4 linked regions of the Saccharomyces cerevisiae S288C genome follow. The gene in region 4 interacts genetically with the main gene of each other region. Each region holds a gene or a part of one and is shown on either strand. Other genes may lie near its edges. The genes, in order: YAT1, AGC1, RAS1 and CIT2.

Evidence for each region.
Region 1: mutations in CIT2 (region 4) and YAT1 impair growth when combined (synthetic growth defect), as found in Saccharomyces cerevisiae (one study listed by BioGRID).
Region 2: of CIT2 (region 4) and AGC1, changing one enhances a phenotype caused by changing the other (phenotypic enhancement), as found in Saccharomyces cerevisiae (one study listed by BioGRID).
Region 3: of CIT2 (region 4) and RAS1, extra expression of one rescues a mutant of the other (dosage rescue), as found in Saccharomyces cerevisiae (one study listed by BioGRID).

The regions. Positions count from the first base shown.
Region 1 is NC_001133.9:186,186-192,756, reverse strand, and holds YAT1 (carnitine O-acetyltransferase YAT1), read right to left. Parts: upstream 2,565-6,571; coding exon 501-2,564; downstream 1-500. Other genes in the region: oxysterol-binding protein related protein SWH1, read right to left, coding at 1-138; YAR035C-A (uncharacterized protein), read left to right, coding at 340-420; DUP240 family protein MST28, read right to left, coding at 3,946-4,650; pheromone-regulated DUP240 family protein PRM9, read right to left, coding at 5,025-5,921; DFP2 (DUP240 family protein), read right to left, coding at 6,212-6,436. UniProt on the Saccharomyces cerevisiae protein: Involved in the transfer of acetyl-CoA into mitochondria. May also be involved in the metabolism of acetate and of ethanol.
Region 2 is NC_001148.4:599,076-606,364, reverse strand, and holds AGC1 (citrin), read left to right. Parts: upstream 1-3,007; coding exon 3,008-5,716; downstream 5,717-7,289. Other genes in the region: SDD4 (Sdd4p), read left to right, coding at 1-2,454; ATP20 (F1F0 ATP synthase subunit g), read right to left, coding at 6,148-6,495; MCM DNA helicase complex subunit MCM4, read right to left, coding at 6,814-7,289. UniProt on the Saccharomyces cerevisiae protein: Calcium-dependent mitochondrial aspartate and glutamate carrier. Transport of glutamate in mitochondria is required for mitochondrial transamination reactions and ornithine synthesis.
Region 3 is NC_001147.6:512,935-516,673, forward strand, and holds RAS1 (Ras family GTPase RAS1), read left to right. Parts: upstream 1-2,309; coding exon 2,310-3,239; downstream 3,240-3,739. Other genes in the region: alpha-1,2-mannosyltransferase KTR1, read left to right, coding at 1-72; CRC1 (carnitine:acyl carnitine antiporter), read right to left, coding at 361-1,344; OST2 (dolichyl-diphosphooligosaccharide-protein glycotransferase), read right to left, coding at 3,515-3,739. UniProt on the Saccharomyces cerevisiae protein: The S.cerevisiae Ras proteins modulate the activity of the adenylate cyclase catalytic subunit and therefore affect the biosynthesis of cyclic-AMP.
Region 4 is NC_001135.5:119,070-124,914, reverse strand, and holds CIT2 (citrate (Si)-synthase CIT2), read left to right. Parts: upstream 1-2,586; coding exon 2,587-3,969; downstream 3,970-5,845. Other genes in the region: YCR006C (uncharacterized protein), read left to right, coding at 1,912-2,385; YCP4 (flavodoxin-like fold family protein), read left to right, coding at 4,597-5,340; mitochondrial 54S ribosomal protein bL32m MRPL32, read right to left, coding at 5,744-5,845. UniProt on the Saccharomyces cerevisiae protein: Peroxisomal citrate synthase involved in the citrate homeostasis. Catalyzes the condensation of acetyl coenzyme A and oxaloacetate to form citrate. Citrate synthase is the rate-limiting enzyme of the tricarboxylic acid (TCA) cycle.

The sequences.
Region 1 (6,571 bases), on a different chromosome or scaffold from region 4:
TGGGTCGTCTAGCGGCTGGAATTGTTTCTTTAGGAGATCTTGTAGGTTGGGGAAACTTCCCTGGCGAAGGGCGTCGAGAAGTTTCAACTTCAGCAGCGGCTTACTGATGGCCACAGACGATAGATCAGGTTGTTCCATGGTGTGTGGAGGGGTGAAAGGTGTACTTTGATGTTTAAACTTTTCCCTTTTTATTTTTTTTTTTTTTGGCAGTTTAATTTAGTTTGAGTGCTTCTATTTATCCAAGTTTTGAGTTTCCTTTTTCCTTTTTTTTTCTTTTTTTCCTTTCCCTTTTTGGTGCACGTTCGCTCGGCGAGTAAAAGAGGTAATCCAAACGACGGGATGAGATTAAATTACAGTCGCTGCTATTATAGTAGCCAGCGGCGGCGCCAGTCACTTCCAAAGCGTTTTCCTCTTATTTAGTATATTTAATAGTATGTAGTAGTAGTAGTAGTAGTAGTAGTAGTAAAAATAATATTGATGCGCAAAAACTCAGCATAAACTCAACCGGACACGCTCACGTCGAAGTAATCGTAGCCGGACAACAGGTATTTCATGTCTTCTGATTTGGTGTTGGCGCTAGCAGTGGTCCTGGCAGCGGGTTTTGCTGCGCGAGCTTGCTGCCGTTTGAAGATGCGGTCGATCTCCAGCAGCGACTTTTCCATGAGCGACGCAAACCGAGCAGTCTGGCGATGCCTTGAGGACACCACCACAGAGACGGAGTGGTCTCTGATGATGTAGCCGATGCCGAAGCCGTTGGCGGTGACAGGCCCGAACCCGAAGCTCTTGAGGCAGGGGTTACCGCAGTTGGAGGTGCTCAAGACGTTGTTCTGCATGGTAGTCCAGGACTTGTCGCGGAAGATGGGTGGGAGCTCCAACTTGTCCTTGTACCATTGGTTCCAGAGGCAGTAGAGCGCATACAAGTGACGGTCCTGGCCGAGCCCCTGGGAGCATTCCCTTGTGATTTGCGAGTGCGCCGTACAGGCGTCGTGCAAGAGCTGAATTTTGGTGGCGTCCGAGGCATCCTGGTCCAGTAGTGACTTGACAAAGAGCTTCGATTGGCCCGTGACGGAGCGGATGGCCTCTGTGCGGCCGTTTTGGAACGCCTTGGTCATGGCAGGCTCGTACACGGTCTCGAAGCGACCGTACAACGCGAAGTATGCGACCTGGAACACCTGCTGCACGAAGGCGTCTGGCGAGCACTTGAACACTGTCTTGATATGGGACGCGCCGTAGTTGGAGAAGTCAAGATTAACAAACTCGTATTGCGAGATCAAGTCCGAGATGCGCGTCTCGGCAAAGTGCAGCGACGATTGCAGGAAATTGTCAGTGCGCCATTCCAGTTTACGAGGGATGGTGATCAAGTTGGCGGAGTGAGCCGCCGAGGCCAACGACGACGACGATGGTTTTCCATCGTCGTCGCTAAAGATGTCGACGACGTTCTTGGTGACACCGCGTGCGAAGCTCAGGATCGAGTCTGTGTAGATGTCTGTGGCGAGCCGCAGCACAGTGTGGCCGTCCACACCGGTGTGTTCGAAGTTGATGCCCGCCTTACCGTTCTTGGTCACGATCAGTTGTAACTTGTCGTACCAGCGGTTGAGACAGGTGCCTGTCTGCACGTTCAATGGCGGCTGGTGTTGGTGCGGGTCGAGATTGATGGTAGAAGTCCCGCACAGCATCGAACGCGTGAGCTCGTCCTGCTGATCGGCGGCAAACGCCACGTCGTCGAGACAGACCACGAACAGCGCGGAGTCGATCAGCTTGAGATTGCGCCAGTTGGTGCAGTCGTCCGCATGGAACAGATAGTCCCTGATGTTGGACCACACCCGGCGCGACTCTGTGGTGAACACGCCAAAGGGCGCGGATCCGCTTCCGGCGGATTCCGCGTCCATGATGATCGAGTAGAGGTTCCACTCCAGTTGTTCTGGGGTGGCGAAGATGGGCTCGTTGCGTGTGTCCAGCACGTCGAACCAGTAGAACTGGCCACGATACATCGCCACCACGTGATGCGACGTGGCGTCTGTTTGCAAGTGGCAAGAGGGCTCGCCGGGACCCGGAGGGATTCTACTGGAGCCGAATAGCCGCTCATACTGGTCCATCGACAGCGGCGTTTTGCCGCGCACAGTGTCTGTGCGGAGTGTGCCGTGGCGAATCTGGCGGATGAACTTGAGAATAGAGGTGGTGAGTCGTGCGGCACGACGAACCTGCACCGTGTGTGCGCCATAGGGGCCCTGTGCCGCCGTCTCTGGTGTGTCTTTGATGGTTGGGTCGTCCTGCAGTTGGAAGTACGGGTTGACGTTGAGAACGACAGTTGCATCATATAGCAAGTACGCGTCATACCAGAACTGCTCGATGTATGAGGACTCTGGGTTGCTTTCCGCGAGCCGTGCGTCGTATTCTAGCAGCCGCTCGTGCAGCGTGTTCAATGCGTCCAGGTTTTCTGCGGAGAGCACAGTGCGGCGCGTACGGCGGTTTTGGCGCTCGTCCTGCAGGGGTTCCACGCGTGCCAGGTAGCGGTTGAGCGTGTCCTGCAGTGGCGGGATGGGTAGTCTCTTTAAGTTTGGCATTGTATACGGAAAGGAGGGGTGGGCGGGTGTGGTTATTGTCGTGTGGTTATTGTCGTGGGTGTGCTTCTATGTTATGTGTGTCTTGTATATATATGCGCGTTCCAGTTGACGCTGATACAGCCCGCCGGGCGGACGGAAAGTCCGCGGGGATGACCGCGGACCGCCGGGCCGATGACTCTAGTGCTGATGCTGATGCTGATGTTGTGCTATATGCTTTTTTTTAGCCGCTGATGACATATAGAGTCCAGATGGGGAGTCCTTTCAATCATGCTTTTCCTTGCCCCTTTACTTTGGACTATGCACTCATGATTGCCATTGTGACTGGAGAGATCGTGACACTGCTGATGGTTTTGTCATTCCGCACGTCCTACGTTTAGAAAGTAACGATGCCAATCTTCATCACGGTAAAAGTAATACGGGGTGGGGTGTTACTGATGAGAATTGGGGGAATTTTGAGATAATTGTTGGGATTCCATTTTTAATAAGGCAATAATATTAGGTACGTAGATATACTAGAAGTTCTTCTCGAGGATTTAGGAATCCATAAAAGGGAATCTGCAATTCTACACAATTCTATAAATATTATTATCATCGTTTTATATGTTGATATTCATTGATCCTATTACATTATCAATCCTTGTATTTCAGCTTCCGTTGAAAACGATGACTATTTCTCATCATTTGCGTCATCTTCTAACACCGTATATGATAATATACTAGTAACGTAAACACTAGTTAGTAGATGATAGTTGATTTTTATTCCAACAGTTACGTAAACCGTTATCAAATAAATACGCTCAGATTCAATTCTGATTAATTTTCATTGGGGCTGATGCTTTCGCTGCAAGTTGTCATAGTATTATTTATTTATTAATACCTTAGATTTTCTTGACAATTAACCAATTTTTAATCATTAAACTTAATAATATTTAATGCTACTGTACTTTTTATTATTATTTATTATTAATTTATTTATTCGTTCATCTTGTATGTAATCGTCCTCCGTTCTTTTCCCTTTACCGCTGGCTTGCGCGCGATGATTTCCACTAAAAGCTTGCTTGGAAATCTCGATCACCGACATACGCCCTGAGAATGCTTATAGGAGCTATTGAGGCGAAAGAAGTGGAGGGAAAGTAATATCCCGAGAACGAAAACGCAAGGTTTATTGTCATGAAAATGCAAATGCACCGTTGACAAAACCAACCACACGATTATCACGACTACTACCATAATAGGTAGGCAATGAACCACTTTGTTCAGCAAATGGGTCCAACACGAATCGACTTTTCGAGGCTTCCTTCGGCCGTTTTCCGGCCAGTTAGTGCTGATTATATATCATACTCTAGTTTATGTTCGCTTTACGTATGGTAGTGTCTCTAAGCTATTCCGTCTTTTTAAGAAGCGCATCGATATTGGGATGCCGCCTTCGCCAGTAATTTTCCTGAGCTTGTCGTTCGATCTCCGCTGCCTTGAGCAAAAAGTTTTGATAATTCAGTCTGGAACTAGGAGAAGCTGACTCGATGGCATCTTCAGGCTTAGCGGTGACCGGAGAATTGCCAATTGACGTGGCTGTTTGCTTCTTGGGGGTTACTCCCTCAACAAGGCGTAGAAAATAACGGTAGCAATCCTCATCGCTGTAAAAGTAATACGGAGTATGCCATTGCCCATGATTAAACAAATATTGGTTCATGTTGTATGTGATGATCCTCCATTCTTTCCCTTCTACCGCCGGTTTACGTGTGATGACATCCACTAAAAGCTCGGTCCTAAAATTTCGACGACTGACTAGCTTTGGATTACCATCACTTAATATTATTAACAAACCTACAAGAGAAGTAAAAGCAAATATTGCAGAATTGAAAACACAAGCTTCGTTGTCATTAAAAAATATAATTAATAAAACCAAAACCCCTATTACCAGGGACAAAATCATGACTGGTGTATAGCGAGCGATTTCATAGATCCAATAACTCAAGTACGAACGGAATATGTCCTTAGGAAGAGCCACATTTTTCTCAATTAAATGTGCACTAGGTTCGTTAAGTGTATCTAACTTGACGTCGGTACTTTCTGGAGGGGTCTGCATAGCCAATATATACCTTGTATTGCCTATGACTATAGTATTCCTGGTTGTTTCTGTGCCACTGCATACTGATCAAATGTTTCAATTACGCAGGACCCTTTTACGATTGTTTTTCATCTCTAGAGGCATTTTCAACATCGTATTTTCCGAAGCGTTGCATAATGAAAATGTGATAATAAGGCAGTGAGCTACTTTGTCACAACAAAGTACGAGAACAGATGAGGTTCCGTGGTGTTTTTGGGGCAACCGCACTATTTGGAGCGCTGTATATATTTATATCCTACTACAAAAAATCATAAATGACACTGAATTGGACACATGCTAGCGTCAAATACCTTGCCTGGTAAAGTTGTGTGCTAGTGTCTCCCGTCTTCTGTCTAAAAAAACTCATCGACACCAGGATACTCTTGTCGCCAATATTCCTTTTGAAATTGTTGTTCGATTTCGGCTGCCTTGGTGAGGAGCTTTATAAAGTTCGGTCCGGCACTAAAACTAGAAGACTCAGCGGCTTCGTTTGGTGTGCCAGCGGTTTCGTCATTTGATTGTGCGTCTTTAACATTGCTGGCTGACGATTCCTTTTGCTTCTTGAAAGTTCTTCCCTTAATAAGACTTAGAAAATAACGGTGGCAATCTTCATCACGGTAAAAGTAGTAGGGAGTATCCCATAGCCCATGATCAAATAAATACTGGTTCATCTTGTATGTAATTGTCCTCCATTCTTTCCCCTTTACCGCCGGTTTACGTGTGATAATTTCCATCAGAAGCTTAACTTTAAATTCCCGATCACCGATCGGTTCACTAAATGCAATTACAACCATGCATGTTCCTGGAAAGCAAAAGGAAAACAATAGTATCTCAAAGGCAACGCAAAATTCCGTATTATAAAAAAACACTAATAATAAAATTGAAGTCACAATAAGTACGAGCAAAATTACTGCCGCTTTATGACGAGTAACTTCATATATCCAATAACTTAAGTACGAACCGAATATGTCCTTGGGAAGAGCCACATTTTTCTCAATTAAATATGCACTGGGTTCGTCGAGAAAATCCGACTTGGCGTCGGTACTTTCTGAAGATGTTTGCATGCCCAGTTTATATCTTGTCTTCTCTATAGCTCTGCTATGGTGTTGAAGGATGTTATGCGGATCAAAATAGCGATCTGTCTTATACCAATTGAAACTTTTCATCACCTGCTTTTTACTTCGGAGGCATTTTTCATTCAATACTAAGTTCCGGAATGATACAAAATAAAAATGGTATTGAGGCGACATAAGTTGTTAGCACAGCAAAGATGGTTGCGGGTTAAGTTTTCTGATCGTTCTGGGAGAGTATTTACGTTAAAAAATAGGAATCAATTAAGCATAATCATGCCGTTTTGTGTGCTACATATCTGTTTCCCACTATATAAAGTCACGTTAGAATGCAATTTATCTAATTTACTACCCCATTTTAGCGTCAGTGGATTGGTAAATCCCTTTGCTAGCAAGGTACTGTCAGAATATTTCTCCTTCCTTTCAAATAATTGCACCAATATCTTGCCAATACTTCACTTGAGATTGTTCTACAATATCCGCTGTCTTGGAAAGCAATTTTGAAAATCTTCTCCGGGATTTAATGTGAAAGATTCGCCAGCTTCAGTCTCCTGTACATTTTCCTCAGCGTTGCTTGTTGGCTTCTCGAAAGTTCTTCCCTCAATAAAACTTAGAAAAAGACGGTGGCAATCTTCTTCGCAATAAAAGTAGTAAGGAGTACTCCATATTTTATGGTCAAATAGATATTTATTCATCTTGTACGTGATAATGTTTCATTCCCCTTTCACCGAACGCTGGCGTGTGCTTACCTCTAACGAAAGCCTAATATTAGATGCTTTATTGTCGGTCTGTCCCGGAGATGAAAAAAGAGGATAGAAGGGACATGAGAT
Region 2 (7,289 bases), on a different chromosome or scaffold from region 4:
TTACCACCCCAGAATCCATTTGGAGATCCATTAACATCTTCCTCTAGCGGTGCTAATTTGTCAGTTATGCAGGACCTTTTTTCTACAAATTTTTTGAACAGCGACCCATTACAATCTTTCATGCAAGAACTTTCTGAAGCCCCGCAAGTAAGTATTGAAGATACATTTTCTGACAAGAATACAATCCCACCTAATGAAAAACCTGTTCAACAAGACGAAGGGTTCCAGAATCCTCCAGTTATGTTTGAGTTACCACAAGATAACATTAAAATTCCCAAAGCACAACCGAAGTTCAACGATAACCCCAGTACTTCAGTGAAGGACAATCTTTCCAGTCAGAAGCTTAATATCAACGAGCTAAAACGGAGATCATCTAAAGATTCAGGAGTAGGAAACAATTCCTCTCTGAACTACAAGGAACAGTTGCGTCACTCTATGAAAAGTGTCCCGTCATTTTTCCATCCGGATCCCTTAACAAAGTATAAGATATCAAAAGAAAAATGTCAAGAAATGTTTTCATTTGTTCCAGAATTACGCTATGTCTCTATTGAATCTATACACAAATCGTTAAAATCCTTCTGGTTGAACTTCCATCCACAATACGGTCTGCTTCACAAACCCTCTTTTCACGTTGATAAACAGCCTGCAATTTTGAATTTGGCACTAATTATGACTGGCGCAAGTTTTTTGGGAAGCGAGTATCGTGAACAGATTAGTGACCCAATTTGTGGTCCTCTAAGATGGATAATTTTTTCTCATGCTGATTTTCAACCACCTTCTAAAACCTACATCATTCAAAGTTTATTATTAGTCGAAGGATATGAAAAAACAAGTACGAACAGGTATTTACATGAAAGGTCTTTTTTACATCACGGAACGACCATTCAATTGCTAAGGCGAACGCCCTCTTTAGGCGGCCATCCCTTAATGGTCAAAACCGGCAAAACCTCTGGGGAAAATTCAATTCAAGACCCACAAGAAGTTTATAAAAGATGGATTGATTTTGAAATGTTGAAAAGAATAGCTTTCTACGCATTTTATATGGACACTACACATGCTGTAGTGTTTGGATACTGGAATTTATTTATTAATAGCAATCAGATTCAACTAACTTTACCCTGTCCAGATCAAGTGTGGGAATCTTATGATTTGAGCTATGAAACTCTGATGGAGCATGGGTATGGCAGCACAAAGAGAGATGAGAATAATACATTTTTGTCTGCGTTAATGCAATTAATGAAAAATGTCATTCAAATCTTACGAAATAATAATATACGGAGAAACAAAGTCAACAATGGTGGAATAGAGAGTACCCCTACAGACTTGGAAAGCACTACAGATTGGAATATTCAGAGTCTTTTTGGTAAAAAGATTCTTTTGGCGGGGATAATTTCGATCTTATTTCAATGTCAAGAGGAAGTTAATGGTGACTATTTCATTACTAACTTTAGGGGCGGAATCACTGATCATTTAGGCCTTTCATGGAAAGATATTTTATCATTTGCAATGAACTATTGGCTTCACGAAGTTCAGAAAAGCTGCACTGATCCGAAAGCATGTAGGATAAGTACTCCATCTGAGGAGACACTAACGAACAGAAAAATTGACGAGGATAATGGAGATGGACTATGTGATGATGATTTGGACTTGCTTTCCTCCGATAATCCGTCAAATTGTAAAATTCCCGTTATTCATATCTCTCAAATTGTCCTACGTATTCTTCATCATGATTATTACATATATGCAGGAGCACCTTGGAGAATGAATGTACCAATTGGTCGCGATGAATATGACATGATCAGTCGCAGGATTCTCCAGTTCGCTAAGGACCCCTACAATGGGGGTGTAGCTGTAGTCTATGCCTTCCAGTTCTTATTTGAAATGTTTATCATTAAGGAAAATAACGTTCCAACCGTAGTGAAGAGCTACAATATAAATTCTGATCCTGTGATTACTAGACCCTATGCGATTGCATTAACTTCACTCCTAATTTGGTCTTGTAATTTTGCATTACATGGCTGTGAAGTTAGCATATGGGATAATACAGAAGCCTCAAAGGATGAATGCTTTCAACCAGATGACAGCAATGGTGGAAACATTCTAGGCAATACTGATAATAATGGATCGACGATTGCAAACAACAATTTAAAGGAAAAGAACAATTACATTCCAATAGAAAGTTTTGAAGTTTACCTATTGAGAATGTATCGGAACTTATATGTGGATAGCTCACTCGATGTAGTTAGCTTTCAGAATGACGTTTGGGCAAAAGCGAGTTTACTTCAACATATTTCTAATACCCACTTTCTATGCGGGATGATGCAGTTTATGAGAGATATTTTCAACAAGAGCTACTGGGATTTAGGGCGCGAATTCGGAAAACTCTTCGATAATTGTTTGGAAAGGAGCCTAGGGAAAACGTCACCCACTTGTCATAACATGTTTGATGTTTAGTTTATATTCGTATATTGGTAAATCATCATATTTATTGTTAGATTAATGAAATGGTTATGAAAACATTTGTAAACTGCCAGCTGTGAAATTGTTAAATAAAATCGACACTGTATATAATTGCGCTTCATATTTTACATGTAAGTATGATCTATGTTTTACGTAGGAGAAAGAGCTTTCTTTATTGGTCATCCCACTGCAAGCGGTTATGAAAAATTTCTGCAGCATCGCTTTAGGGGAGTACTGCCGGCATGTTGGAAAAACATCTCGAAACATATATTGAATCTCAGAATTAACCAGTATTCGAAGCAAAGAAAAAAATATTTCGAAGATAGATAAATACCTCAAGACGAACCTGTCTTTTATATGTTAAGATTTGATATCTAATCTCACCAGACTTTCAAGTTTTATCTCACAACCTCGCGTTTGCCATAATTTTCGAAGTAGCCTGATCCCTTCTTTGTGAACATATTTCACTGGAAAAGTACATAACTTTCATAGCGTAGTTTGAAAGTATGCAGCTTTGCTACCGACCTTAAAGAATTATTATACTATTATGGAGCAAATCAATTCGAACAGTAGAAAAAAGAAGCAACAATTGGAAGTATTCAAATATTTTGCAAGTGTCCTTACAAAAGAGGACAAGCCTATTAGTATCAGTAATGGTATGTTAGATATGCCGACAGTGAACTCCAGTAAACTCACAGCAGGAAATGGGAAACCTGACACGGAGAAGCTTACAGGAGAACTAATTTTAACATACGACGATTTCATTGAACTGATATCTAGCTCAAAGACTATTTATTCGAAGTTTACGGACCATTCGTTCAATTTGAACCAGATACCCAAGAACGTTTTCGGGTGTATTTTCTTCGCTATTGATGAACAAAACAAGGGATATCTGACGCTTAATGATTGGTTTTATTTTAATAATTTATTAGAATATGATAATTATCATCTCATTATTCTATATGAGTTCTTTAGGAAATTTGATGTAGAGAATTTGAAGGCAAAACAAAAAAAAGAGCTTGGTAGTTCGTCGTTTAATTTAAAGGCTGCAGATGATCGAATTAAGTCAATTAATTATGGTAACAGATTTCTAAGCTTTGATGATCTTCTTTTGAATCTGAACCAATTCAAAGATACTATCCGCCTGTTGCACGAATCTATTGATGATAATTTTGTTAAAGATAACAAATTACTACTTGATTGGAATGACTTTCGATTTCTGAAATTTTACAAATGTTATCATGAAAATGAAGAGTATTTGAGTTTAAACTCTCTGGTCACGATTTTACAAAATGATCTTAAGAATGAAAAAATATTTATAGGTTTTGATAGGTTGGCACAGATGGACTCACAAGGGCATCGTTTAGCCCTAAGCAAAAATCAACTCACCTATCTTCTAAGGTTATTTTACTCTCACAGGGTGTCTGCAGATATATTTTCCTCCTTGAATCTATCAAACACCGAATTACTAAAAGCGGACAATAATTCCATTCCGTACAATGTATTCAAGGATATATTTTATTTATTTCAAAATTTTGACCTACTGAACCAAATATTTCACAAGTATGTTACTGAAAATAATTTGAATGAGCAGGATATTAGGGAACAAATAGTTACTAAAAATGACTTTATGACAGTTTTAAACGCCCAGTATAACAAAGTAAACAATATCATTGAGTTCTCTCCTTCCCAAATCAACCTACTATTTTCTATCGTCGCAAATTCAAAGGAAAACAGAAGATTAAGAAAGAGAAATCAAGATCGAGATGACGAGCTATTAAATGATCACCATTATGATTCAGATATTGATTTTTTTATCCATAATGAGTATTTGCATGGAGTAAGCAGATCCAGAAAAAATTTAGAAAGTTTTAATGACTATTATCATGATCTCTCGGATGGATTTGACCAAGACTCTGGTGTTAAAAAAGCTTCAAAAGCGAGTACTGGCTTGTTTGAATCTGTATTTGGAGGTAAAAAAGATAAAGCAACGATGCGTTCTGACTTAACAATTGAAGATTTCATGAAAATTTTGAACCCAAATTACCTGAACGACTTAGTTCACCAAATGGAATTGCAAAAAAATCAAAATGAGTCATTGTATATTAATTACTACTTTTATCCAATTTTCGATTCGTTGTACAATTTCTCCTTGGGTTCTATTGCGGGTTGTATTGGTGCAACTGTAGTATACCCAATAGACTTTATAAAAACAAGGATGCAAGCCCAAAGATCTTTAGCCCAATACAAAAACTCAATTGATTGTTTGTTGAAGATTATATCCCGCGAAGGAATAAAAGGTCTCTACTCTGGCTTAGGGCCACAATTAATAGGAGTTGCTCCTGAAAAGGCGATAAAATTGACTGTCAATGATTTTATGAGAAACAGGTTGACTGATAAAAACGGCAAGCTAAGCCTTTTTCCTGAAATTATTTCTGGCGCTTCAGCTGGTGCATGTCAAGTTATATTTACTAATCCGTTAGAGATTGTAAAAATTAGGCTACAGGTCCAATCCGACTATGTTGGTGAAAACATACAACAAGCCAATGAAACTGCCACTCAAATAGTCAAAAAATTAGGACTGAGGGGCTTGTACAATGGTGTAGCCGCATGTTTAATGAGAGATGTTCCATTCTCTGCTATTTATTTTCCCACTTATGCACATTTAAAAAAAGATCTCTTTGATTTTGATCCAAATGATAAAACAAAGAGGAATCGATTAAAAACATGGGAGCTTTTAACTGCCGGTGCCATTGCTGGTATGCCAGCTGCCTTCTTGACTACTCCTTTTGATGTTATAAAAACAAGGCTCCAGATAGATCCTCGAAAAGGTGAGACAAAGTATAACGGTATATTTCATGCTATCCGAACTATCTTAAAGGAAGAGAGCTTTAGAAGCTTTTTCAAAGGTGGTGGAGCCCGTGTCCTAAGAAGTTCTCCCCAATTTGGGTTCACTCTGGCCGCCTATGAATTATTCAAGGGCTTTATTCCCTCCCCCGATAACAAATTAAAAAGCAGAGAGGGTAGGAAGAGATTTTGTATCGATGACGACGCAGGCAATGAAGAGACAGTAGTTCATAGTAACGGTGAACTCCCACAGCAAAAGTTTTACTCTGATGATAGAAAACATGCCAATTATTACTATAAAAGCTGTCAAATTGCGAAAACATTCATTGATTTGGACAATAACTTTTCTAGGTTTGACTCTTCAGTTTATAAAAACTTTCAAGAGCACCTAAGAAGCATTAACGGGTGATTTATTTTCTTCGTCAGTTTCTCTGTACATATATATGTATATATTTACTTATTATAATTCATAGCAAAATATATGTTTTTTTTTTTTTCTTATAGTGAGAAAAATTACTAATGATCCTGAGATCAATTTCACTGTAGTTTTTACTATAGTGCAACAAGTATGTTGTTCTTAATAAGTGTAATGAAAGCTCTGAGGTCAAGTTTTCTTTTTTACAGAAAAGTTATATTGGCCTATTTCATAAATAACTGGCGGCAAGAAGCTAATGTAATATAACTCGATATCGCTTTTAATGCCATTGTATGTCATGAAAAGAAAATAAATAGAATTGAGATGAATATATATTCTTTTTTCTAGTTTTGTTCTATTTGTACATTGATTTAATTTAATTAACGAATATACAAGGGTTTTGCGAATAGATAGAATTAAAAAGCTTAGTGATGTTTATATCCCACTAATTTTCTTCTTCCAATTATTTCACCGACAGAATAAAACCCTATCAACTGAATACCATATGCGCCATATTTTAATAGTTCATTCTTTTGGATGTTTTTTAAACACGATAAAACTTCTGTAGGCTTTAGAGCAAAGTTTAGGCTCTGCTTATAAAGGTTCGAATACACTGATTTGAACTGGGCAACAGTTGGTGGTTGAAGACCCTCTTTTAAATAAATCTGTTTTGAAATCTCGGCACCGACTTTACCATAGTATAAAGCCTTTGATGACAAAAGATTTGCTTTAGAAACCAACCCACTGGTATAATTTTGGATCCTGCTTAGCATGATGAATTGATTAGCGTTCTGAAATATGATTTATCGGCAGGTTTATCTTGTCGATTTGGACTGGAGTAGAAAATATGAGGGATCTTTGCATCTTCATTTTTCGGTCTTTAAATGTAATCATCCTTCGGGATAAATTTAGTGCGTTTAACAATATTTTCTTTCAGCCAATCAGGAATAAGAAAAAAGCCGCCCACTCAATCGAGCCTACATACAGTATTGAATAGTGTTACAAAGCATAAGGATGTAAAAAATACAAACTTGCTATAATTAATTAGTATTTATTAATTGTTACGCAGGGAATGATTGTAGTAGACAGCATCAGACACGGTTATTCAGGCGAACTGATCTCCTTACACCCTCGCCAAGGACAATGACCTTGTCCTCTTGTTGCAATCTTGACAAGGCTTCCTGGATATCAGAAGACTCAACTCTATCTTGAGAGTGTTCATTGATTTGTTTTATAAGCTCATTGAATGACATTGAGTCTGATGCCTGATCCTTCAAAACATTCATAATTTCCCTTGACAAATCCTCCTGTAGTTTTCTCTGAATAACTGATTTACCTGTTTGAACTAAATTCATGTCGATTTTACCGGTTTTAGGGTCTGTTGCATAATCTTTTATGGCTGATCTAATTAATCTAACGGCTTCTTGAACATCCTCCAGCTCTACGACGTTTTTCAATTTCATTTTGGCGTGCGCCTCAGCCAAACGAATCATACTTTCAAGTTGTCTTGTGGTAGCTGTGATTCTCTTCTCATCGGATCTCGAATCGTCACCCATCTTTCTCATTC
Region 3 (3,739 bases), on a different chromosome or scaffold from region 4:
TCATGTACTACTAAATTCTACAATATAAACAAGTTGCCAAAGCCTGCTGGTTGGCAAAACCATATCGGTTGATTATACTGTAATCAGCCCACGTTGTCTTTGTATTTTCCACTTTTTTTATTTATACTATTTAAAGAAACAGAATAAATTATAACTCTTTTTTTTACATATCACATTTATATTTACTCCATTGCGTTACAAATATGAACGCTTCGACAACAACGCCAAGGAAACCGGGATAACCCAACTGATATTTTCTACCATACACTGAACGAAATTGCAGAACCAAAAAATAACAAAAAGTTCCCAAAAGGAATGCCAGAAAAAAATGGGAGGCAGGTCCACCTAACAAAAATTTAATCATATGCCATACTTCTTGAACAGTGAATGAGTCATCTCCACACCTAAAAATGTGGCCGCATTGGCTGGGAAAGATCTTAGTAAAGCAGGACCTAAACCAGGGAAAAATCCCTTGATACCACCTCTTTGTAGATAAATTTCCTTTGTGGCGGAAAGCATATTCTGCCTCGTGGAGGAAGCCTGCAATTTTGTCTTTATAGTGTCTATGGGGAAAACAGCTAGCCACATCGACATACCAGCAATACCACCAGCAAGACACACGTTCAAGATATTGACCGGTTCATCTTTGCCCGCATCTTGACGAGGTTGCCTACTATTCAAGTAATTTTTTGAAATTTCATAAGATGCAAAATATAGAGCTGAGCCAGGCCCATCTCTTGCTAAAGTGGCTAATGAACCTTTAAATAAAGAAGCTATGCCACCTTCTTTAACAATGGTTTTAGCCGCCTGAATGAAAGAGCCCTTAGAAGATGTTTGCAGGACAACCTTTACTCTTTCCGTTGGCGCAGTCACTAAAGTGGTAGGAATAGCGCTGATAAATCCTGCTGCAGCCATTTGTCCCATAGTTAACTCGTTACTGCCTCCTTGCTTGTTATTAAAAGTAACCAGTTTCTTACCCACATCGTAACCCCAGAAAGAAACAGCGAATATGGGAGTAACACCTAATAAGGGCGGGATAACACCTTTATAGAACCCCTTTACGGAATTGGTAAATAATGTGCCCTTTACTTGAGTTTTTGCTTCTTTTATAATATTTGTAATGGCATGTACCGTGGAATTCGCTTGTCCATTTTGACATCTCACTTTAATCAAATCGAAGGGATGACCCGTAAACACCGCACATACCCCGCCAACTCCACCGGCCACAAATGATTTGATATTTTCGCGTACAGGGTTTGATTTTATAGGTGGACGAGACTTGGTCAAGCTCCCACTCTCTTCTTTCAATAATGAAGATTCTGATAATGAAGTGTCTGAAGACATTACTGACACGATGACGTTTGTGGAGGATAAGAAAGTCGTACAATACGTAGAATCCAAGGAAAACCTGGAATAAAAACACACATAGAGCGCAATTGAATATCGGCTATTTCTACAGTACAAGCGTCTGCCTATATATGCGCTTGAAATATATCTATTTCGACTAAAGGAATTATACCATCATGCATCTTTACTCTTAAATCTCCATTTGTCCACCGACTTATTGCGGCAAGTGGAGATCCAGTCACGCCGGATGACTGGGTGTAGATAAATAGCCGCCCAACTGATCCCTGCATAAAGCTTATATGCGGATATTAGGAGCAGTAACCCGATGACATTAAGCGTGTAGCCACAAGGAACTTCACCATTACTCATAGCAGAAAAAGCAGTGACCAAAAAATGGCAGGAATGACTCTTTTCTGTTTCCCCTCATATACACTGAAACATCTCGATATAAAGCATGCCCTTTATTGTACCATCAATGCAATGTAACGGCAAACGAGGCTAGGAATATGTATTACCCGCACTGAATTGCTTCTTCACTTAGCACACCCTTGATCGCTATGTTCTACGCTGCTACCCGTTCGGTAGGGAGTGGCGGGGAAATTCACATTGGCACAATGTAAACCCGTAGGAAAAAAAAAAAGCACGAAGAAAAAAAAAGAAACCAAAAATATTTACTACATGTAAGTCTATGGACATTTGACAACAAACTTTTTCAACTCATCGCAAGATTATGAATTTTTCACGGCTTTTCAGGTTTTTTCCTCCTTTTGTTTTACATTGAAAGGTTTATATTTTATGTCTTTGTATGGTTCTCTTAATTTGGATTCTTTCTTGTACGGTGTCTCTATTATCATCTGTCTTGTTCTTTCTTGCAATGCTTAATTAACTGCTGCCACAATTGACTTCGGTTTGGCTATTTCACGATTGAACAGGTAAACAAAATTTTCCCTTTTTAGAACGACATGCAGGGAAATAAATCAACTATAAGAGAGTATAAGATAGTAGTTGTCGGTGGAGGTGGCGTTGGTAAATCTGCTTTAACAATTCAATTCATTCAATCATACTTTGTGGACGAATATGACCCTACTATCGAAGATTCTTACAGAAAACAAGTTGTCATCGATGACAAAGTATCCATTTTGGACATTCTAGATACTGCTGGACAAGAAGAGTATTCTGCGATGAGAGAACAGTACATGAGGACTGGGGAAGGTTTCCTACTGGTCTATTCCGTCACCTCTAGAAATTCCTTTGATGAGTTACTGTCTTATTATCAGCAAATTCAAAGAGTAAAAGATTCTGACTACATTCCTGTAGTCGTGGTAGGTAACAAATTGGACCTTGAAAATGAAAGACAAGTCTCTTATGAAGACGGGTTACGCCTGGCCAAGCAGTTGAATGCACCCTTTCTAGAAACGTCTGCGAAACAAGCCATCAACGTAGACGAGGCCTTTTATAGCCTTATTCGTTTGGTAAGGGACGACGGTGGGAAATACAATAGCATGAATCGTCAACTGGATAATACGAATGAAATAAGAGATTCGGAGCTAACCTCATCTGCAACAGCGGATAGAGAAAAAAAGAACAACGGGTCTTATGTACTCGATAATTCTTTGACCAATGCTGGCACTGGCTCCAGTTCAAAGTCAGCCGTTAACCATAACGGTGAAACTACTAAACGAACTGATGAAAAGAATTACGTTAATCAAAACAATAACAATGAAGGAAATACCAAGTACTCCAGTAACGGCAACGGAAATCGAAGTGATATTAGTCGTGGTAATCAAAATAATGCCTTAAATTCGAGAAGTAAACAGTCTGCTGAGCCACAAAAAAATTCAAGCGCCAACGCTAGAAAAGAATCTAGTGGTGGTTGTTGTATAATTTGTTGAAAATGATCCTGCTCTCTTGATATGACATGGTTTTGATTGCAAGTCTATTCTTACTTGTTCAATTGGTTTCACCAGCATCTTTTTGTATCCATTTTCCTATGCTGTGTATCTAGTAAAAGAGTTGCTTGCCACCAAACATTAATACTAATGGTTAATCTGCCACCTTTTGTAAGCTTTCTATAATGTACAATTGTAATATGTTCTTTTATTCTCGTACAAAGTATATATACTATACACATACAAGCATGCATGCAAGCACGCCGGCAAACCCTTCCTCAATTTATAAAATGTAAACAAACGAAATGTAAAATCAAACTAGCAACAATAAACTCGGCAAAAGCTCTGTTTTTAGAAATGCCTGGAAAACTATTACACAATTGTAACCGCAAACTCATCAATAGGACGAATTGTCCCACACAAATAATGAATCCCGCTAAAAACGCATTGAATGGAAAATTATCACGGATCAAGATAATGAATGTACACTGGATCACCCCTAA
Region 4 (5,845 bases):
GCACTAACCTGTAGGTTGTGGAACTTCAAAACTACAAAAATCTTGATGTGTTGATTGTTCGGTCACTTAGAGGATATAATTGAATACTTGCACGATAAGAATCTTAAAACATATAGTGAACAAGAACAAGTGCCGAAATTTAAATCTTTGAACCATGTTGATGTGCCCTTTCTGCTTCATAACGGGAACAACTTCGCTTGCAGCATCCTTGCATTCTTGAAGACGTTCTTACGGTCTATGTAGCATTTTCTCTTAAACCCAAGACATAGCAAAAAACAAGTGTGTATAATTACTTTGGATAATATTTATGAAATCCATACTTATATTAGCCATTTCATGAGGACGGAATACTTCTCAACTAAAAAGCACAACTTGGCAATTATTACAATTTGCGTACCTAATAAACAAGATGCCCGATAATTCCTCACAATTTTATACTAGCTCGAATGTGTTGGAATAAAAATCCACTATCGTCTATCAACTAATAGTTATATTATCAATATATTATCATATACGGTGTTAAGATGATGACATAAGTTATGAGAAGCTGTCATCGAAGTTAGAGGAAGCTGAAGTGTAAGGATTGATAATGTAATAGGATAATGAAACATATAAAACGGAATGAGGAATAATCGTAATATTGGTATATAGAAATATAGATTCCATTATGGGGATTCCTAGACCCTCGAGGAGAACTTCTAGTATATTCTGTATACCTAATATTATAGCCTTTATCAACAATGGAATCCCAACAATTATCTCAACATTCACCCATTTCTCAGAATGAGATATACTTTGAGTAAAAGTGGTGGAGGATATTACTTATGTCCTTGGTAGCATGGGTCAAGATAGTTGTGTTAACTTGTTAATTATTTTTTACTATGCTTCTCAATTAAAGATGAAGTTTAACGAATGGTCTAGACTTATTCTCACAGTTTACCCGGAGGTCATCATTCTCTTTAATGACAATATTTACTCTGTCGTCACTTTCGTAATTGTTTCGTGTCTGTTTCGCAGTCCATTTGGAATGCGACAGTAAGTTAATTACAAGAAGTAGTAACAACAACTTAGCGATAATGTTTCTCATGTGTGACGCAGGGTTACTTTTGACTTAAAACGACCATTTTGCAGTTTTACTTCACGTTCGCAAACTTTCAATAACTGGCTGTTAATCTGGTCGTTAAGAAAAAGGTCAATGACGATGGCAGGGAAAATAGGGCTGTATCCCAGACTTCAGGCGCTGTTCTGCCGGGATTTTTCAAAGGAGGGCGTGTGGTCTAGAGGTATGATTCTCGCTTAGGGTGCGGGAGGTCCCGGGTTCGAGTCCCGGCTCGCCCCACATTGTTTTTACAATGTGTGGTGTCGCTACTGGCAGAAATGGTACGGCATTTATCTTTCCGACGTAAAACAAGTGTACTCAGGAGCAGTTTTTTTTTGCAATATGCTAAAACTCGTACAATAAACCAAGGCGCATGGCATGTTTGAACATTTACTCGTTATTTCGGAGGTTCCTCAGATGGCTGAATGGAGGTACAGATTATGATTTCTAGAAAACTGCAGCGGACTTTACAGAGTAAGCTGGAGAAGACCAATGTTAATGAAAACTTGAACTGCTGAAGTGTGATATTCAATGTATGAGATAATCCATTAAATCATCTACAGTTTAAAGACTGTAGGCTTACATGACCGTTTATCACTGCGATATTGGAGGAAGCGCTTCGGATCAATGGACCTTTTACTTAGCAGAGCGAAGGCTGAAAATCATGAACCCCAACAGCATGTGTGACCTCTCTTCTCACGCCTGGCAAGAAACCAAACTACGGCATACATTCAGCGCACCAAAAAGGAACTCCGTACTATTTACATTAAAAACAAGAAAATGTGTTGCCATTTCCGTAAAATGAATGGCCCATGTTCATACGCGTATGCAACCGTCTTATTTACACTCCGACTAATGTCCTTCTAATTACTGTGGAAGACGGCCGTATAAGCGTCCTTCTGTGGTTTAGATATGCTATACCGGCGGAACTTTGTTACACACGGCTCGCGCGAATCCTTAGGGGAAAACATTGCGCTGACTTTCCCCAGAGTTGTTGCCACAACATAAGCCGCTTTGGAGTGTTGAACAAATCCGTCCTTGGGTCATTCAATCAATGGCTTGGCGGTATCTCAAAAGAGCGCAAACTAATAGCGCGCACATTCGACGCATTTATCCGGTGGTCATCGACTAGGGGCGAAGAGGTCACGACCTATTTTTTCTTGCAGAAAAAAAGTGTGACCTTTTCCGTAGCTAGACGTCTATCAGGGCGTCAGCAATGGGAGGCACAGCGGAAAAACAATAACAATGGTAAGCGCAATTACCTTTTGAGCGTTACATTCGTATGAAATTGGTGACGTTAATCTAAAGATAGTCATGCTCTCAAAAGGGCCCATTATTCTCGACGTTGAGCGTATATAAGACTATTAAAACTTGGTTCTTTAGATATGGTGTTCGTTCCTCATTATTAAGTTTCAGGGAACAATATCAACACATATCATAACAGGTTCTCAAAACTTTTTGTTTTAATAATACTAGTAACAAGAAAAATGACAGTTCCTTATCTAAATTCAAACAGAAATGTTGCATCATATTTACAATCAAATTCAAGCCAAGAAAAGACTCTAAAAGAGAGATTTAGCGAAATCTACCCCATCCATGCTCAAGATGTAAGGCAATTCGTTAAAGAGCATGGCAAAACTAAAATTAGCGATGTTCTATTAGAACAGGTATATGGTGGTATGAGAGGTATTCCAGGGAGCGTATGGGAAGGTTCCGTTTTGGACCCAGAAGACGGTATTCGTTTCAGAGGTCGTACGATCGCCGACATTCAAAAGGACCTGCCCAAGGCAAAAGGAAGCTCACAACCACTACCAGAAGCTCTCTTTTGGTTATTGCTAACTGGCGAGGTTCCAACTCAAGCGCAAGTTGAAAACTTATCAGCTGATCTAATGTCAAGATCGGAACTACCTAGTCATGTCGTTCAACTTTTGGATAATTTACCAAAGGACTTACACCCAATGGCTCAATTCTCTATTGCTGTAACTGCCTTGGAAAGCGAGTCAAAGTTTGCTAAGGCTTATGCTCAAGGAATTTCCAAGCAAGATTATTGGAGTTATACTTTTGAAGATTCACTAGACTTGCTGGGTAAATTGCCAGTTATTGCAGCTAAAATTTATCGTAATGTATTCAAAGATGGCAAAATGGGTGAAGTGGACCCAAATGCCGATTATGCTAAAAATCTGGTCAACTTGATTGGTTCTAAGGATGAAGATTTCGTGGACTTGATGAGACTTTATTTAACCATTCATTCGGATCACGAAGGTGGTAATGTATCTGCACATACATCCCATCTTGTGGGCTCAGCACTATCATCACCTTATCTGTCCCTTGCATCAGGTTTGAACGGGTTGGCTGGCCCACTTCATGGGCGTGCTAATCAAGAAGTACTAGAATGGTTATTTGCACTTAAAGAAGAGGTAAATGATGACTACTCTAAAGATACGATCGAAAAATATTTATGGGATACTCTAAACTCAGGAAGAGTCATTCCCGGTTATGGTCATGCTGTGCTAAGGAAAACTGATCCTCGTTATATGGCTCAGCGTAAGTTTGCCATGGACCATTTTCCAGATTATGAATTATTCAAGTTAGTTTCATCAATATACGAGGTAGCACCTGGCGTATTGACTGAACATGGTAAAACCAAAAATCCATGGCCAAATGTAGATGCTCACTCTGGTGTCTTATTACAATATTATGGACTAAAAGAATCTTCTTTCTATACCGTTTTATTTGGCGTTTCAAGGGCATTTGGTATTCTTGCTCAATTGATCACTGATAGGGCCATCGGTGCTTCCATTGAAAGGCCAAAGTCCTATTCTACTGAGAAATACAAGGAATTGGTCAAAAACATTGAAAGCAAACTATAGTTGGATTACATCCTACTTTTACACCCCTCTGCATATTTTTCTTTCCTCATGACCATTTAGTATTTAGCACTTATTTAATACAATAATATATTCTTTTAACCATACACTATGATAATGATATTTATAATTAAGAAAATGAACGTTACTATTTCCTTCCTCGTTTTAGTTACATAAAATTTACTAATGGTTGGAAAATTGCGGAAGCTATCACGCGATAACTAGGTACACACGCATTATTTTTATAATCCCATTATTAATAAATCCGTTATGACCCTTTTAGTAATAACTTATTAAGAACCTCCGGGTAAAATACTGTACTGCGGGGAAAGAAGGCGCTTCCCCTTCTTGGAACTTAATATAAATAATAAATTTGCCTAAGGGCATTAGGCCTTACTGCCTTGGCTAGCGTACTTATTTCGATTCATACAATTTGCACTATTCCGGCAGCTAGTTGATACTATAACATCCTACATTTTTACTTGTTTTACGTTCATTTTTATTTGAAGTTTGTAAACTTTATCAGAAAGAAAACAAGAAGAGGAAAAAGGAAAAGAGGGGTCAGGTTAGTATCAATAAAAAAAAAGAGAGTAAACAAAACAATACAGACTCAATTGAAGCACTATAAGAATGGTAAAGATTGCGATAATTACTTACTCTACCTACGGGCACATAGACGTTTTAGCCCAAGCTGTTAAGAAAGGTGTGGAGGCAGCTGGTGGTAAAGCTGATATATACAGGGTCGAGGAAACTTTACCTGATGAAGTCCTCACCAAGATGAACGCTCCTCAGAAACCTGAAGATATTCCTGTTGCCACTGAGAAAACGTTGCTCGAATATGACGCCTTTTTGTTCGGTGTTCCAACTAGGTTTGGTAATTTGCCGGCTCAATGGTCCGCCTTTTGGGATAAAACCGGTGGATTATGGGCCAAGGGCTCTTTGAACGGCAAAGCTGCGGGGATATTCGTTAGTACTTCCAGTTACGGAGGTGGTCAAGAAAGTACCGTTAAAGCCTGTTTGTCTTATTTAGCTCATCACGGAATTATCTTTTTACCACTGGGTTATAAGAATTCATTTGCTGAGTTAGCCAGTATAGAAGAGGTACACGGTGGCTCTCCATGGGGTGCTGGTACCCTTGCAGGACCTGACGGCTCAAGAACTGCGTCTCCACTTGAATTGAGAATTGCTGAAATTCAAGGTAAAACATTCTACGAAACCGCCAAAAAACTTTTCCCTGCAAAAGAAGCCAAGCCCTCCACTGAAAAGAAGACCACTACTTCTGATGCGGCTAAGAGACAAACTAAACCTGCAGCAGCTACAACTGCAGAAAAGAAGGAGGACAAAGGATTATTATCCTGCTGTACTGTCATGTAAGAAACAACAGTTCGCGTCTAATATTTAGTTCTTACTAACATTAATTCTATCTCAGCAGATATATCAATGTAGGACGTTGGAAAATTAATAAAGAATTAACTCTTTTTATTTTATTTTTTCCTTTTTATATTAAAAGTATATTTCTGTAAGTCCTTGTACTAATAATATCATTTCCTAATATTTTGAAATATAGTTGTTTTTTGTCAAGCAAAACTCTTGATTTCAAAGACCTCATTTTGTTAAGCCAAAAGCGAAAAATTCTATTTCGACTTTTCTTTCTGTTTCCGCTCCTTGTATTCTACCATTGATGCTGTCTTAAACAATAAATATACAGTTTGAAATTAAGTTTCTATATACAGGCTTAAGTTTATTTAAAAAGGAAACCACTAGATGAAAGATGAGCCTAGTCCTTTTTTAAAGTCCGAACGCGACGTTCCAAATAGTTATCTTTATCTTTCAAATCCTTGGTATATTTGGTATCTCTTCTACCAGGATATAGGACTCT